3 linked regions of the Saccharomyces cerevisiae S288C genome follow. The protein of the gene in region 3 purifies or fractionates together with the protein of the main gene of each other region. This does not show direct contact. Each region holds a gene or a part of one and is shown on either strand. Other genes may lie near its edges.

Region 1 (6,121 bases), on a different chromosome or scaffold from region 3:
ATTGATCCTCTTATCAGAAACGATAAGTGCTACTCCGTCCTATTCTTCTAGCCATCTAGTACGTATTCTTTTCATAACATAATCCCTTATTTACAGAATGTGTTTCGAAGAAAAATTAATTAGATGGGAAGAAAACTGAAGTGGCTTATATAATCAGTGACATAGTGCCAATAATTACGCAAAAAGCAAAGGAAATAACACTGCTATGGATATGGAAATCGAAGATTCAAGCCCCATAGATGACCTGAAGTTACAAAAACTGGATACCAATGTTTATTTTGGACCCTGTGAGATATTGACACAACCTATTCTTTTGCAATATGAAAATATTAAGTTCATCATTGGTGTCAATCTAAGTACTGAAAAGATAGCGTCGTTTTATACCCAGTATTTCAGGAACTCTAATTCGGTAGTCGTGAATCTTTGCTCACCAACTACAGCAGCAGTAGCAACAAAGAAGGCCGCAATTGATTTGTATATACGAAACAATACAATACTACTACAGAAATTCGTTGGACAGTACTTGCAGATGGGCAAAAAGATAAAAACATCTTTAACACAGGCACAAACCGATACAATCCAATCACTGCCCCAGTTTTGTAATTCGAATGTCCTCAGTGGTGAGCCCTTGGTACAGTACCAGGCATTCAACGATCTGTTGGCACTCTTTAAGTCATTTAGTCATTTTGGAAATATCTTGGTTATATCATCACATTCCTATGATTGCGCACTTCTCAAATTTCTTATTTCCAGGGTGATGACCTACTATCCACTAGTGACCATCCAGGATTCTTTGCAATATATGAAAGCAACCCTGAACATATCCATCAGTACATCCGATGAGTTCGATATTCTGAATGATAAAGAACTGTGGGAGTTTGGCCAAACCCAGGAAATTCTAAAACGTAGGCAGACGAGCTCAGTCAAGAGGAGATGTGTCAATTTACCAGAAAACTCTACGATCGATAACAGAATGCTTATGGGTACCACAAAGCGAGGTCGCTTTTGAAGAGCCCTCGGTAGCATAACATTTTTAATTATTACGACTGTTTTTTTTATTCATTATGTAGAGATAATTAAATGTTATAGATGCTCTATACTCAAACGGTGGAAGAAAAACAGCGAAAAAAAATAACCGATACCCCCTTTTCGAATACAAATGCTTGTATATTCAATTATGAATTATTTTTTTTTTTTTTCATTTCTTATATTATTTTTTGTTCGAGAATCACTTTTTCAAGATGGTAACAACATCTTCGTCTTCCAAAATGTGACTCAACCCCACGTATTGAGGTTGATGTTTGACACTGCTACCGTAAACCAGAGCATTTCTAAAGTCGTCCACTAAAGATTTATGAATTTGGTTACAAAAATCCTTGACACTGCAACGGTCTGATCTTAGCACCACAGGGTCGGTAAAATCTGGTATTTGGCCCTTTGGTTTAGTGTAAATACGGACTAGATTTAGTCTATCCCACATGACTTGCAACAGCTCGTCCAAGTTCCAATCTTGACCAGACGAAATAGGCACGGCATTAGGAATTCGGTAAAGTAATTCCAATTCCTCTATTGACAGAGAATCAATCTTGTTTAACACATAGATGGCAGGCATGTATCTTCTTGACGAAGCTTCCAAAACATCAATCAAATCATCCACAGTGGCATCACACCTGAAGGCAATCTCAGCGCTATTTATTCTGTACTCGCTCATAACGGCTCTGATTTCGTCATTCCCCAGATGGGTCAATGGGACTGTGTTTGTGATGGAAATACCACCTTTCTCTTTTTTTTTGATCAAGATATCTGGCGGAGTTTTATTCAGACGAATCCCCACACCTTCCAGTTCCTTCTCAATGATTTGCTTATGATGCAAGGGTTTGTTCACATCTAGGATGATAAATAACAGGTTACAGGTTCTTGCCACGGCAATAACTTGCTTACCTCTACCTCTACCATCCTTAGCACCATCGATAATACCAGGTAAATCCAACATTTGGATCTTGGCACCTTTATAACGAATGACACCGGGGACGGTAACCAGGGTGGTAAACTCGTACTCAGCTGCTTCAGACTCAGTACCAGTCAACTTGGACAGTAATGTAGATTTCCCCACCGACGGGAACCCGACAAACCCCACACTGGCCACACCAGTTCTAGCCACATCAAAACCAATACCAGCACCACCACCGCTGCCGGATGAAGCACTGGTCAACAATTCTCTTCTCAGTTTGGCCAGCTTGGCCTTCAGTTGACCCAAATGGAAAGATGTGGCCTTGTTCTTTTGGGTACGGGCCATTTCATCTTCGATAGCTTTGATTTTTTCAACTGTAGTAGACATTTTGCTCAATCAACAACTCTACGCTTGCACCTACTGCATCTAGCTTCAAACACTTCCTATCATTGCGCCCTCATCACACCGTAATATCCCATCTTAAAAGTGGAAAACTCTTATAGCTCATCGATGAAAAAAACGGGCCCTCGTCGCTTGTGATGTGAAAAAATTTTTCAAGCTTTAAGCCCATTGAAAGCAAGAGATCTTGCACTAGAATAAGTGGCAAAGGTGAACTTTGAGGGGATAAGAAGGGCAATCAGGAACATCAGATAAGTGAAAGATGGCGAAAAAGAGTAAAAAGAACCAACAGAACTACTGGGATGAGGAATTCGAAGAAGACGCCGCCCAGAACGAAGAAATCAGTGCCACGCCAACTCCAAATCCAGAAAGCAGCGCAGGTGCAGATGACACTTCCAGAGAAGCAAGTGCAAGTGCTGAAGGTGCTGAGGCCATTGAAGGCGACTTCATGTCTACTTTGAAGCAATCGAAGAAGAAGCAAGAAAAGAAGGTTATTGAAGAGAAGAAGGATGGTAAGCCTATACTAAAGTCCAAGAAGGAAAAGGAGAAGGAAAAAAAGGAAAAGGAGAAGCAGAAGAAGAAAGAACAAGCTGCCAGGAAGAAGGCCCAACAGCAAGCTCAAAAGGAGAAGAACAAGGAGTTGAACAAGCAAAATGTTGAAAAAGCTGCTGCTGAGAAGGCTGCTGCTGAGAAATCCCAAAAATCTAAAGGTGAAAGTGATAAACCAAGTGCTAGTGCTAAGAAGCCAGCCAAGAAAGTACCTGCCGGTTTGGCTGCTTTGAGACGTCAATTAGAATTGAAGAAACAACTTGAAGAACAAGAAAAGTTGGAAAGAGAGGAAGAAGAAAGATTGGAGAAAGAAGAGGAGGAAAGATTGGCCAACGAAGAAAAAATGAAGGAAGAAGCTAAAGCAGCTAAAAAGGAAAAGGAGAAGGCAAAGCGTGAAAAACGAAAGGCTGAAGGTAAGCTATTGACCAGAAAGCAAAAAGAAGAAAAGAAATTATTGGAAAGAAGACGTGCCGCTTTATTGTCTTCCGGTAACGTCAAAGTTGCCGGTCTGGCCAAGAAGGATGGAGAAGAAAACAAACCAAAGAAGGTTGTTTACAGCAAGAAGAAGAAGAGAACAACCCAGGAAAACGCCTCCGAAGCCATTAAATCTGACTCTAAGAAAGACTCGGAAGTTGTACCTGATGACGAACTCAAAGAATCCGAAGATGTTTTGATTGATGATTGGGAAAATTTGGCTCTTGGTGATGATGACGAGGAGGGAACCAACGAAGAAACGCAAGAATCCACCGCAAGCCATGAAAATGAAGACCAAAATCAAGGCGAAGAAGAAGAAGAAGGAGAAGAAGAAGAAGAAGAAGAAGAAGAAAGAGCACATGTGCATGAAGTTGCCAAAAGCACACCAGCAGCTACACCAGCAGCTACTCCAACTCCATCCAGCGCTTCTCCAAACAAAAAAGATCTTCGTTCCCCAATTTGTTGTATTTTGGGTCATGTCGATACCGGTAAGACTAAATTGTTAGACAAAATCAGACAAACCAACGTTCAAGGTGGTGAAGCTGGTGGCATCACCCAACAGATTGGTGCCACTTATTTCCCCATCGACGCTATTAAGGCAAAAACTAAAGTTATGGCTGAATATGAAAAACAAACTTTTGATGTCCCAGGTCTTTTGGTTATTGATACCCCAGGTCACGAATCCTTCTCTAACTTACGTTCAAGAGGTTCTTCATTGTGTAACATCGCAATTTTGGTTATTGACATTATGCATGGTTTGGAACAACAGACTATTGAATCTATCAAACTGTTAAGAGATAGAAAGGCTCCATTTGTCGTTGCCCTAAACAAAATTGATAGATTATATGACTGGAAAGCCATTCCAAACAATTCATTCAGAGACTCCTTTGCAAAGCAATCAAGAGCTGTTCAAGAGGAATTTCAATCTAGGTATTCTAAGATTCAATTGGAATTAGCTGAACAAGGTTTGAATTCGGAATTGTATTTCCAAAACAAAAATATGTCTAAGTATGTCTCCATTGTCCCAACATCTGCCGTCACCGGTGAGGGTGTTCCAGATTTATTGTGGTTGCTATTAGAATTGACCCAAAAGAGGATGTCCAAACAATTGATGTACTTGTCTCACGTGGAAGCAACCATTTTGGAAGTGAAAGTCGTAGAAGGTTTTGGTACCACAATTGATGTTATCTTGTCCAACGGTTACTTGAGAGAAGGTGACCGTATTGTACTGTGTGGTATGAATGGTCCAATTGTAACGAATATCAGAGCATTACTAACACCACAACCATTACGTGAACTACGTTTGAAATCTGAATATGTCCACCACAAAGAAGTCAAGGCTGCTTTAGGTGTCAAGATTGCCGCTAATGATTTAGAAAAAGCCGTTTCTGGTTCTAGGCTGCTAGTTGTCGGTCCTGAAGATGACGAAGATGAATTGATGGACGACGTTATGGATGATTTGACTGGTTTGTTGGACTCCGTTGACACAACTGGTAAAGGTGTTGTGGTCCAAGCATCCACCTTGGGTTCTTTGGAAGCTTTGTTGGATTTCTTGAAAGACATGAAAATCCCTGTGATGTCTATCGGGTTAGGTCCAGTGTACAAGCGTGATGTTATGAAAGCCTCCACTATGTTGGAAAAGGCTCCAGAGTATGCCGTGATGTTATGTTTTGATGTTAAAGTGGATAAGGAAGCTGAACAATACGCTGAACAAGAAGGAATTAAGATCTTTAATGCAGACGTCATCTATCATTTATTTGATTCATTTACAGCATACCAAGAAAAGTTATTGGAAGAACGTCGTAAAGATTTCCTAGATTACGCTATTTTCCCATGTGTCTTACAAACCTTACAAATTATTAACAAACGTGGTCCAATGATTATTGGTGTAGACGTTCTGGAAGGTACTCTACGTGTGGGAACTCCTATTTGCGCTGTGAAAACCGACCCTACTACAAAGGAAAGACAAACTTTGATATTAGGTAAAGTCATCTCTTTAGAAATCAACCATCAACCTGTCCAAGAAGTAAAGAAGGGCCAAACCGCTGCTGGTGTTGCCGTCCGTCTAGAAGATCCCTCCGGTCAACAACCTATCTGGGGTCGTCATGTTGACGAGAATGATACATTATACTCCTTGGTTTCAAGAAGATCTATTGACACTTTGAAGGATAAAGCTTTTAGGGACCAAGTTGCTAGATCCGATTGGCTGCTATTGAAGAAGCTGAAGGTCGTTTTCGGCATCGAATGAGCATGGCATACGCTGACTTGTCAACCCAATCACATTCTACAAAATTTAATGAATTAAATAGGTAATTGTATATAAAAATGTGAACCTTTGTGTATTAGTTTCAATTCTATCTTACTTTTCATTGCCATTTTACTTCTTTCACCTTGCTGTCTTTCAACCTTGGAAATTTTTATAGTACGCGTAAACAAAAAAGGTAAATAAGAGGCATTGAATATAAGTTGGCATTTATTAGGAAGTTGAGTAATAACACGTTGAAACTGGGTTAAGACGATCAAAACAACCATGTCTGCTCCCACTATGAGATCCACCTCAATATTGACAGAGCATTTGGGATATCCGCCCATCTCGCTTGTTGATGATATCATTAATGCTGTAAATGAAATTATGTACAAGTGCACTGCTGCCATGGAAAAATATCTGCTATCCAAGAGCAAAATCGGCGAGGAAGATTATGGAGAAGAGATCAAAAGTGGAGTTGCTAAGTTGGAATCACTTTTGGA
Region 2 (2,565 bases), on a different chromosome or scaffold from region 3:
TCGTAAACCCTTCGTTCAATACCAAACTTAGGAAATTGCATGACACTTATCAGGGCGTTTGGCAAAAAAAAACTGAGTACAATGCTTTATTAAAAGGTTTTTTTGTTGGCGACCTAGGTGCTAAGACTTTCACCTTGAAGGAAAGGCAAAACGGTGAGTATGCCCTCCATGTGACAGGAACAGCCTCTAGTTTAAAGAAAATTGATGAGTTAATTAGTAAATCGACGGAGTACCACGGAAGTTGCTTCCATATTTTGCAAAAATCAAGCCAAACACGATGGTTGAGTCACAAAATTTGGACAGACTTGGGGCACGAGTTGGAATTATTAAATTTAAAGATTAGGAATGAAGAGGCTAATATTATTGATCTTTTTAAAAGGAAATTTATTGATAGAAGTAACGAGGTCAGACAAGTTGCAACTACACTGGGCTATCTTGATACCTTATCGTCCTTTGCTGTGTTAGCTAACGAGAGAAATTTAGTCTGCCCAAAAGTGGATGAGAGCAATAAACTAGAAGTAGTGAATGGGAGACATCTAATGGTTGAAGAGGGTCTTTCCGCGCGCTCTTTGGAGACATTCACGGCCAATAACTGCGAATTGGCGAAGGACAATTTATGGGTAATTACCGGACCGAATATGGGTGGTAAATCTACATTCTTAAGACAGAATGCAATTATAGTCATTCTGGCGCAAATTGGATGTTTTGTTCCATGCAGTAAGGCGCGTGTGGGTATTGTAGATAAGCTTTTTAGCCGAGTTGGTTCAGCAGATGATCTGTACAATGAGATGAGTACGTTCATGGTTGAGATGATAGAAACATCGTTCATCTTGCAAGGAGCTACGGAACGGTCTTTAGCTATTCTAGATGAGATTGGCCGTGGGACTAGTGGTAAAGAAGGCATTAGCATCGCTTATGCAACTTTAAAGTATTTGTTAGAGAACAATCAATGCAGAACGCTTTTTGCTACACATTTTGGTCAAGAACTGAAGCAAATCATTGATAACAAATGTTCGAAAGGAATGAGCGAAAAGGTCAAGTTTTACCAAAGCGGAATCACTGATTTAGGTGGAAACAATTTTTGTTACAACCATAAGTTGAAGCCGGGCATCTGCACGAAATCAGATGCCATTAGAGTTGCGGAATTGGCCGGATTTCCAATGGAAGCGTTAAAAGAAGCCCGCGAAATATTGGGATAACTTTTGAATACAACTATTAATTGTATATAATTTGACATGTAATATAATAAGATGTGGAATCAATTTCCCTGTCTTTTTTTTCAAAAGCGACTGTGAAGATACTTAGAAAATGGCAAAAACGGTAGTTTGCAAATTTCCGTAGTTTGTCGCGCGAATGATATTAGCGGAAACAAAACGATCAAACCTTATACCATGAATATAATGGTGGATATTTATTACGGTAAGGAAACACTCTGAGCCAGGCTTGTAAATAGCGGTTATCTAAGCTTGTAACTAAAGAAATCAATTTGCATCTTTCGTCCATGAGTGTCAGCCTTGAGCAAACGCTCGGATTCAGAATAAAAGTTACGAACGTGTTGGATGTAGTTACTGAAGGAAGATTGTATTCGTTCAATTCATCCAACAACACTCTTACTATCCAAACAACAAAGAAGAATCAATCTCCACAAAACTTCAAGGTGATAAAATGTACATTCATCAAGCATTTGGAAGTCATTGGTGATAAGCCCTCGTTTAACTCATTCAAAAAGCAACAAATCAAACCCTCATATGTCAACGTGGAAAGAGTTGAGAAGCTTTTGAAAGAAAGTGTAATAGCATCTAAAAAGAAAGAACTCTTAAGGGGCAAGGGTGTGAGTGCAGAGGGTCAGTTCATTTTCGATCAAATCTTCAAGACCATAGGAGATACTAAGTGGGTGGCTAAAGACATCATTATTCTTGATGACGTTAAGGTGCAACCTCCATACAAGGTCGAAGATATCAAAGTGCTACATGAGGGAAGTAACCAATCCATTACATTAATTCAAAGAATAGTGGAAAGAAGCTGGGAGCAGCTAGAACAAGACGATGGTAGGAAAGGTGGATAGATTAATTAATGACGGAAACGATAATATACGTTATATATTTTATCCGTACTTCTATAATGTCAACTATTGTTTATAAAGAGATCCATTTGAGTCTACAGATTTTTCTATTTATCAAACTATAATATTCCACCACTCTCTTCTCAGTCGCAATGCTTGGGTGTACGGTGTTTGAATAATTGAATTAGATTTAAATGCGAATAAGTGATGACTAACAAGCAAAAAAATCGAGTATTTCAAGATCCAGTCGAATATAAAATCTTGCTACTGCATTATTCTACGATTTCCTGTTATCACTTATAGTACACATGTCTGAGTTTTTGAATGAAAATCCCGACATTTTAGAGGAGAACCAACTTCCCACTAGAAAAGAAGATAGTACCAAGGACCTTTTGTTAGGCGGGTTCAGCAACGAAGCTACGCTGGAAAGGAGAAGCCTTTTGCTGAAAATAGACCATTCTTTAAAGTCTCAGGTATTGCAAGATATAGAGGTCTTAGACAAG
Region 3 (6,781 bases):
GGATTGAGGTCATTTGAACAAGGGTCACATAACCATTTAAATGTCTTAAGGTTAGTGTTTTTCTTCATATCTTTCGGCAGTTTAATAGCATAACAGAAGTAGTGTACTGTAAGTCCACAATTACCACATACTACCTCATAGTTGTCATTGTCGTTAAATTTTTCTTTGCAGACACTACAAAAAGTCCTTGCGCTATTATTTGCCCATGCTGTATCAGGATTTTTTGGTTTATTCTTAGTGTGTTTCAAAATCATGTCTTTCTCTAACATTTTGCTCGGTTTATTACCATCATGGTATTTTTCAAGGGCGACAGAAGTTTCCTTAGAATGTGAAATAACTGTATAATTGTACGATGCCCCGTTTGGTTCGTTTAACGGATTACTTAACGCTATGTCATTGATCATTTTGATCTTCTTCGTTGAAGGTTCATTATATTTTGGCAGCTTATTATTCACTAACTTTAAGCTATTCCGTAATCGCTGAAATGTTTTGTTATCAAATTTGACAAATTTAAAACCTTTATCTACAGACACTGAACCAGAAGAACTGCCGCCTGTTTTAATTGAAATTTCTATCAAATCATTCGAAGCATTAGTGATTTTAGGAATATTGTTATTACTAGCCTTCTCGATAAATACATCGTTGCACTTGCGATTTCGGCTTGTATCACTTGTTTTGATAGTACCAGGTGATTGTCGAATTATGTTCACGGGAAATTCGTCCTTTGTGTTTTTCGCTCTTTCTGGCTTTTGTTCAGGGATGGCTTTTCTTACCTCTTTGTTGTCCTCTATAAATAGCTCAAGATCTCGTTGCATCGTCTCCGGGTGAAACTCATTCTTTCGATATGATCTCACAGCCATTTTGTAGAGTTGCGTGTGGAATGTCATGGAATACCGCTTCATTTTCACAAATGAATTTGGGTTCTTGTAAACTTTCATTCTTTGCCTGATAATTAGCTCTGAATCCTGAACAAGTTCCCATTCTAGTAGTTTATTATGAGCTTGAAAGGGAGATAACGTAAACTTGTTTGTGTTATTCTCCTCTATAATCCCTTCTATCGCTGAATAAAAACTATTCTGACAGGTTCCCGTTATTTTTCTCAATGTTTCAAGCGGTGGTACCCACTTAATTGCGTATCTTCGCCACATACGAGCACAACGAATGCAAAGAGCGCCAAGTTTTTCATTCTTTTTGCTATGGGCAGGCGATTTCTCTGAAATTTCTGTTTTTTCGTTGACTCCTGTCTGCATTCTTATCTTGATCTTTTCATCATCTGAACCTCCAGTAACTCTATACCACATCGGGGAGTAATCTGTTTTACAAAACATGCATTGGAAGGAGGATTCTGCTAAAGAGAGTTTCTCAGTATCAAAAGAAGAATCATCTATATACTTTGTCTCTACGTCATTTTCATGATTAGCGATTTCTTTTTTTCTTTTATTCTTTGATAACTTACTCAATTTCCCTCTCACGGTAAGGCCTCTTTCAGTCTTTTTCCAATTGTAATAAAATCTAACAATCATCGACATAGGTTGAGTGCCCACATACTCACACACTGGGCGTAATTCACTCCCAAATTTCTCGACAGCTTCCTCAAACTTTCGGATCTCCACGGCGGTAAAACTTGGCTCTTTCAAAAATTTTCTGGAAAGCTCCCTTTTACATTTTTTAAATGCCTCTGCTGTATCATAATTTGTAAATAATAAATTCTTTAGGACTACATCAATGAAATTACAAGTCTCACCTCTCACATTGAGAATAGGGCATATTTCGCTTTTGCATTGTTCAATATATTCACTCAATTTTCGAGTAGTAATTTTTGATGCATCAAGTACCCATGCTAGTTCCGAAGTTTTCGTTGAGCCTCGCTCTTCTTCTGAATTTGCACTTATATACGAGTTCCGCCTCCAGGGCACATTATGATTACATCCGTTCCATTGATACTTCACTCCTACCCTAGAGGGTTTGAAAGGATATGGAAAAAACATAGAATCATTTAATGCGTCACCAATATGAGAAATGGAATATATTCCTAAGTATTGAAACCAGCAATTTTCGGTATTATAACCAACATTCTCTTTGATAGCTTTGCTAGAAATTTCTTCAATTTTTTGTCTTACAGAGCGAATAAAATCCAGTTCCAGTGCTTGTTCTTCTAGAAACCTAACATGCGAGTCCTTAGTACCTTGTTGTTTCTGTAAGCAACTGAAGCAGGTCCAAACGACGTCTTTGTTCGGCTTCCTGTCAAGTGGCGGATCCATACAGTATAGATGTGCACAAACGCCGCATTCATCACATGAAAGGCTCTCCTTTTGGATACACCATTCTTTACAGAACTGACATCTTTTATCCCATTGGTAGTCTGCAGGACTTAATTCGTTTACCTCTAGTTCATGGAAAACGTATTTCTTCAAAACGTTCTCCAATGGATACTTCGGTTCTGTATAGATATAACGAAATCTCCTATTCAAAACATAAAGAAATGGCGACTTACTGTTCCATTTATTTAATATTTTATCCGTGCTGTAAACTTTGTAATATTTCAAAGTATATCTGTCAAAAAGTTCATCAAAGTAAAAGATATTGGGTCGTATAATGCATTCCTTCTCATTAGGAAGAACATCAAAAACTTCGTCTTTATGAAATATACTACATTTTCCCCTGTATGATGAAATAGGACATATGTCCTGGTGTAATGATGCATACACCAACCTTGGGTTAAAAGTATTTACGTGCTCTTGAATATCCCTAGGACGATAAAACCAATTCATTCTAACTTGAAAAAATTTAGCAGGGAAGACCGATGTTGTCTTTATAGCTTCATGAATAGTGTTAGAAAATTCTGGTTTACTAACAAAATTTACAACTCTGCCAACATAATAAGGCTCGCCAGCAGGCTCTGATATCATATAAATAGTGTCGTTCGCAGATAAAAGGACAGATTCTGTATTGAAAAGAGACATCTTTTTCAAGTCAATCATGGCATCATCTAGATCAAGTATGTTAGAGAATCTGCTATTCTTTCTGAACGAAGGGGGTAATGTAGGGATAAAGTTCCAGCAAGTATTCTTATCATGAAGGAATTTTTGGTACTTGAATTTCTCGTTTCTACTAGCTGGATTGCTTGTCCTTTTACAATTCCTGGGAGTTTGGCTATTGCTACCCTTGGTCTTAGCACCACTTTTTTCCGCTATTTGTATTTGTTGAACTAATTTAGTATCTATTTCCATTTCATTATAATTCACGTTTTTAGCAGCCTCTCTTCTTCTAGGTAATTGGAAATCTTCTTCTTTAGGCATAGCGTGACCAGCTGAAAGGCAGATGATCTCAATATGTCCCGATAGGCCAATTTTGCCACCAGATAGTTCGATGGCATTTTATTTTTAGTCCTTTTGAAAGCAATATCATAAAATATATATAGTTCTCCATGATGTTCGGGTCAGTCGCTCCGAAGCGTAACCTAGTATAATAAATAGTTCATTGCAGAAAATAACGAAAGAAATGGTGGAATACGATCTGTTATATCTAAACTAAAGCTAACTAACGGAATAAGCAAATACGAATCGACCGCTAATTTAACAAATATGGTTTTAGCAATGGAAAGTAGAGTGGCACCGGAAATTCCTGGGCTCATTCAACCTGGGAATGTCACGCAAGACTTGAAGATGATGGTCTGTAAATTATTGAATTCCCCAAAACCTACGAAAACATTCCCTGGTTCCCAGCCTGTGTCCTTTCAGCATTCTGATGTGGAAGAGAAGCTGCTTGCGCATGATTACTACGTTTGTGAGAAAACAGATGGTCTGCGGGTGTTGATGTTTATAGTGATAAATCCTGTGACGGGTGAGCAAGGATGCTTTATGATTGATAGGGAAAATAACTATTATCTGGTTAATGGATTTAGGTTTCCCAGATTACCCCAAAAGAAGAAAGAAGAGCTGCTAGAGACTCTTCAAGATGGCACCTTATTAGATGGTGAACTTGTCATACAAACTAACCCAATGACAAAATTACAAGAGTTGCGTTATTTAATGTTCGATTGTCTTGCTATCAATGGTAGATGTCTCACACAATCACCAACAAGTTCTAGACTAGCCCACCTTGGAAAAGAATTTTTTAAACCATACTTCGATTTAAGAGCAGCGTACCCTAATCGTTGTACTACTTTTCCGTTCAAAATTTCCATGAAACATATGGATTTCAGTTACCAATTAGTAAAAGTTGCTAAAAGTTTAGATAAACTACCACATCTTTCTGATGGTCTGATATTTACTCCTGTGAAGGCACCTTACACTGCCGGCGGAAAAGATTCATTGTTATTAAAATGGAAGCCAGAACAAGAAAACACCGTGGACTTCAAATTGATTTTAGATATCCCAATGGTGGAGGATCCTTCTTTGCCTAAAGATGATCGGAACAGGTGGTATTACAATTATGACGTTAAGCCAGTTTTCAGCTTATATGTCTGGCAAGGCGGAGCTGATGTCAATTCACGTTTAAAACATTTCGACCAGCCTTTCGATAGGAAGGAATTTGAAATATTAGAAAGAACATACAGAAAATTTGCAGAGTTGAGCGTTTCAGATGAGGAATGGCAAAATTTGAAGAACCTAGAACAGCCATTAAATGGTAGAATAGTAGAGTGCGCAAAAAACCAAGAGACTGGGGCGTGGGAAATGTTAAGATTCAGGGATGATAAGTTAAATGGTAATCATACATCGGTGGTCCAGAAAGTTTTGGAGAGTATCAACGATTCAGTTTCATTGGAGGACCTCGAGGAAATTGTTGGTGATATTAAAAGGTGCTGGGACGAGAGAAGAGCAAATATGGCTGGTGGTAGTGGGAGACCACTACCGTCTCAAAGTCAAAATGCGACATTATCTACCTCTAAGCCAGTCCATTCACAGCCCCCAAGTAATGATAAGGAGCCAAAATATGTAGACGAGGATGATTGGTCGGATTAGGCTAAGAAGTGTTCGTATCGACATATATCGGTGTAAGAATTTTGTGTATGAATAAGATAGAAAAGCAAAAGCAATTGCTTTTGCTAAATTAATTCAGTTAGTTATCTATTTATATGTACATGAGAAATGGGAGAATTTTGAGAAGCGAGGGTGAAAGTGTTATATACGCATATACATGTATATATATGCGCATGCTTATCACCTATGGGAAAGGACTAAACTTTTCAATAATTCTCTTGGGTTACCGTTACCACTTAGGAAATATTTTTCGTCAATCAAGTTCTCCCACTTTTTTCCTGTGATATCCTTGTCTAATAAAACATTTGATTGTTTGTAGTAATCGATTAGTTCGTTAACTTCCTGTTTGTTCAGTTTAGGAACCTCGAATTCGGTGACATTACCTTTTTGGAGCAATTCTACGAACTTCGGTTCATAGTGATATCTAGTAACATAGGGGTCTACTGGGATCTTGCCCAATGCCACGGGTAAAGTTTTGTTTGTCCTGTCAACGCCGGATATAGCTAATATAGTAGAACTCTCACCATTAGCAAATTTCGTCTCTCCTGAAATAATGTCCATCATCAATTTACCCATTTGTAAATCCAGGGAATATATTTGTTTATTCTCTGTATTTCTGTACGCAGAATATGCAGTAGTTAACACTTTTGAAAAATTATCCACTGTAAACATGATTGGCACCTTGGATTGGACAGATAACTCATCAATAATGGCTTTCATTAGTTTTCCACGATTATGCGGGTGGGTCATTACGGATAACAAATCTAAAACTGTATTTTTCGTTTTGTTTAATGTGACAAATGGTTTTACAGAGGCATTCTTTGGGTTTGCATTCGAGAACTTGTAGTCTTTGGATAGCTCAATAGATTTTAACAATGCAGGGTCATTTGCCTTCAATATTTTCCTTATAAGCTTTTTCAAATACATCGGTTGGATGAAAAGCTTTAAATCATCATCATAAGAAAAGTCATTCCTACCGTTCAGGAATAATTCAGGATATGATATGTTAATAATGATTTGCTTGGAATCAACTGCATATGCATGCGCTTGAGAGAGTAGTACAGTTTTCCCGACCCCTGGCTCTCCAGTGATTATAAATTTTTTAACAGGATGAGATACTAGTTTCTTCAAAAAGCTATTCGTTGCATCTTCACGAACTAGACAAACCGGTTTTTGAAAAAGTTCATTGAACTGCGACTTCTTGAAGGAACCCAAATGGTGAAGGGATTTGTACTGTTTGTTGGAATATGATACTACTTTATTCAAAGTCTTGGAAATATCATCAAAGTTGAAGATAGGTAATGCCAAAGGAACGGCGGTCTGTTGTAATTGAGCGGTGTGCGTGGTGTTTGTCCAGTTTTTATACAATGAACCAGGAGTAACTCTCTTTGCAGATGAGTAAGATGAGACTGAAGATGATTTTTTGGAAAATCCTTGAGTTTTACCTTTTGGTGCCGGTTTAGCAGCCTGGAGAGATCGTGCCGTAGTGAACAGCCTTTGCCCAATGAATCTTGAAGTTGACATACGTAGCATTATTCTGATACGTATACCACGTGGCTTGTACTTGTTCTCTTGTTAATGTTTTCCCTCGAAGTATAGAAGTTGATGTATATATACAATATACATATATATATATTCTTGTACATAGTACTTGCTGAGTTTCCTTTTCTTTTTCTTCCGTTTTGTAAGAAAGCCCCGGAAAATATAGTGTTCCATAGGATAAAGAAAAACAGGCATACATATGTGCAAGCTAGTCGAGTAGGATAGGTTCATTAGAGACCAGTCTTGCAATATCGTCA

The links.
Region 1: the proteins of CEG1 (region 3) and FUN12 purify together in Saccharomyces cerevisiae (affinity purification with mass spectrometry, with the first as the bait; 2 studies listed by BioGRID). This does not show direct contact.
Region 2: the proteins of CEG1 (region 3) and LSM12 purify together in Saccharomyces cerevisiae (affinity purification with mass spectrometry, with the first as the bait; 2 studies listed by BioGRID). This does not show direct contact.

What each region holds. Positions count from the first base shown.
Region 1 is NC_001133.9:73,815-79,935, forward strand, and holds FUN12 (translation initiation factor eIF5B), read left to right. Parts: upstream 1-2,612; coding exon 2,613-5,621; downstream 5,622-6,121. Other genes in the region: YAL037W (uncharacterized protein), read left to right, coding at 206-1,009; GTP-binding protein RBG1, read right to left, coding at 1,229-2,338; MIND complex subunit MTW1, read left to right, coding at 5,904-6,121. UniProt on the Saccharomyces cerevisiae protein: Plays a role in translation initiation. Translational GTPase that catalyzes the joining of the 40S and 60S subunits to form the 80S initiation complex with the initiator methionine-tRNA in the P-site base paired to the start codon.
Region 2 is NC_001140.6:351,255-353,819, forward strand, and holds LSM12 (Lsm12p), read left to right. Parts: upstream 1-1,501; coding exon 1,502-2,065; downstream 2,066-2,565. Other genes in the region: mismatch repair ATPase MSH1, read left to right, coding at 1-1,199; iron-sulfur cluster assembly protein CIA2, read left to right, coding at 2,371-2,565.
Region 3 is NC_001139.9:262,561-269,341, forward strand, and holds CEG1 (mRNA guanylyltransferase), read left to right. Parts: upstream 1-3,584; coding exon 3,585-4,964; downstream 4,965-6,781. Other genes in the region: DNA-binding E3 ubiquitin-protein ligase SNT2, read right to left, coding at 1-3,299; mitochondrial 37S ribosomal protein mS29 RSM23, read right to left, coding at 5,163-6,515; U2-type spliceosomal complex subunit CWC23, read right to left, coding at 6,733-6,781. UniProt on the Saccharomyces cerevisiae protein: Second step of mRNA capping. Transfer of the GMP moiety of GTP to the 5'-diphosphate terminus of RNA via a covalent enzyme-GMP reaction intermediate.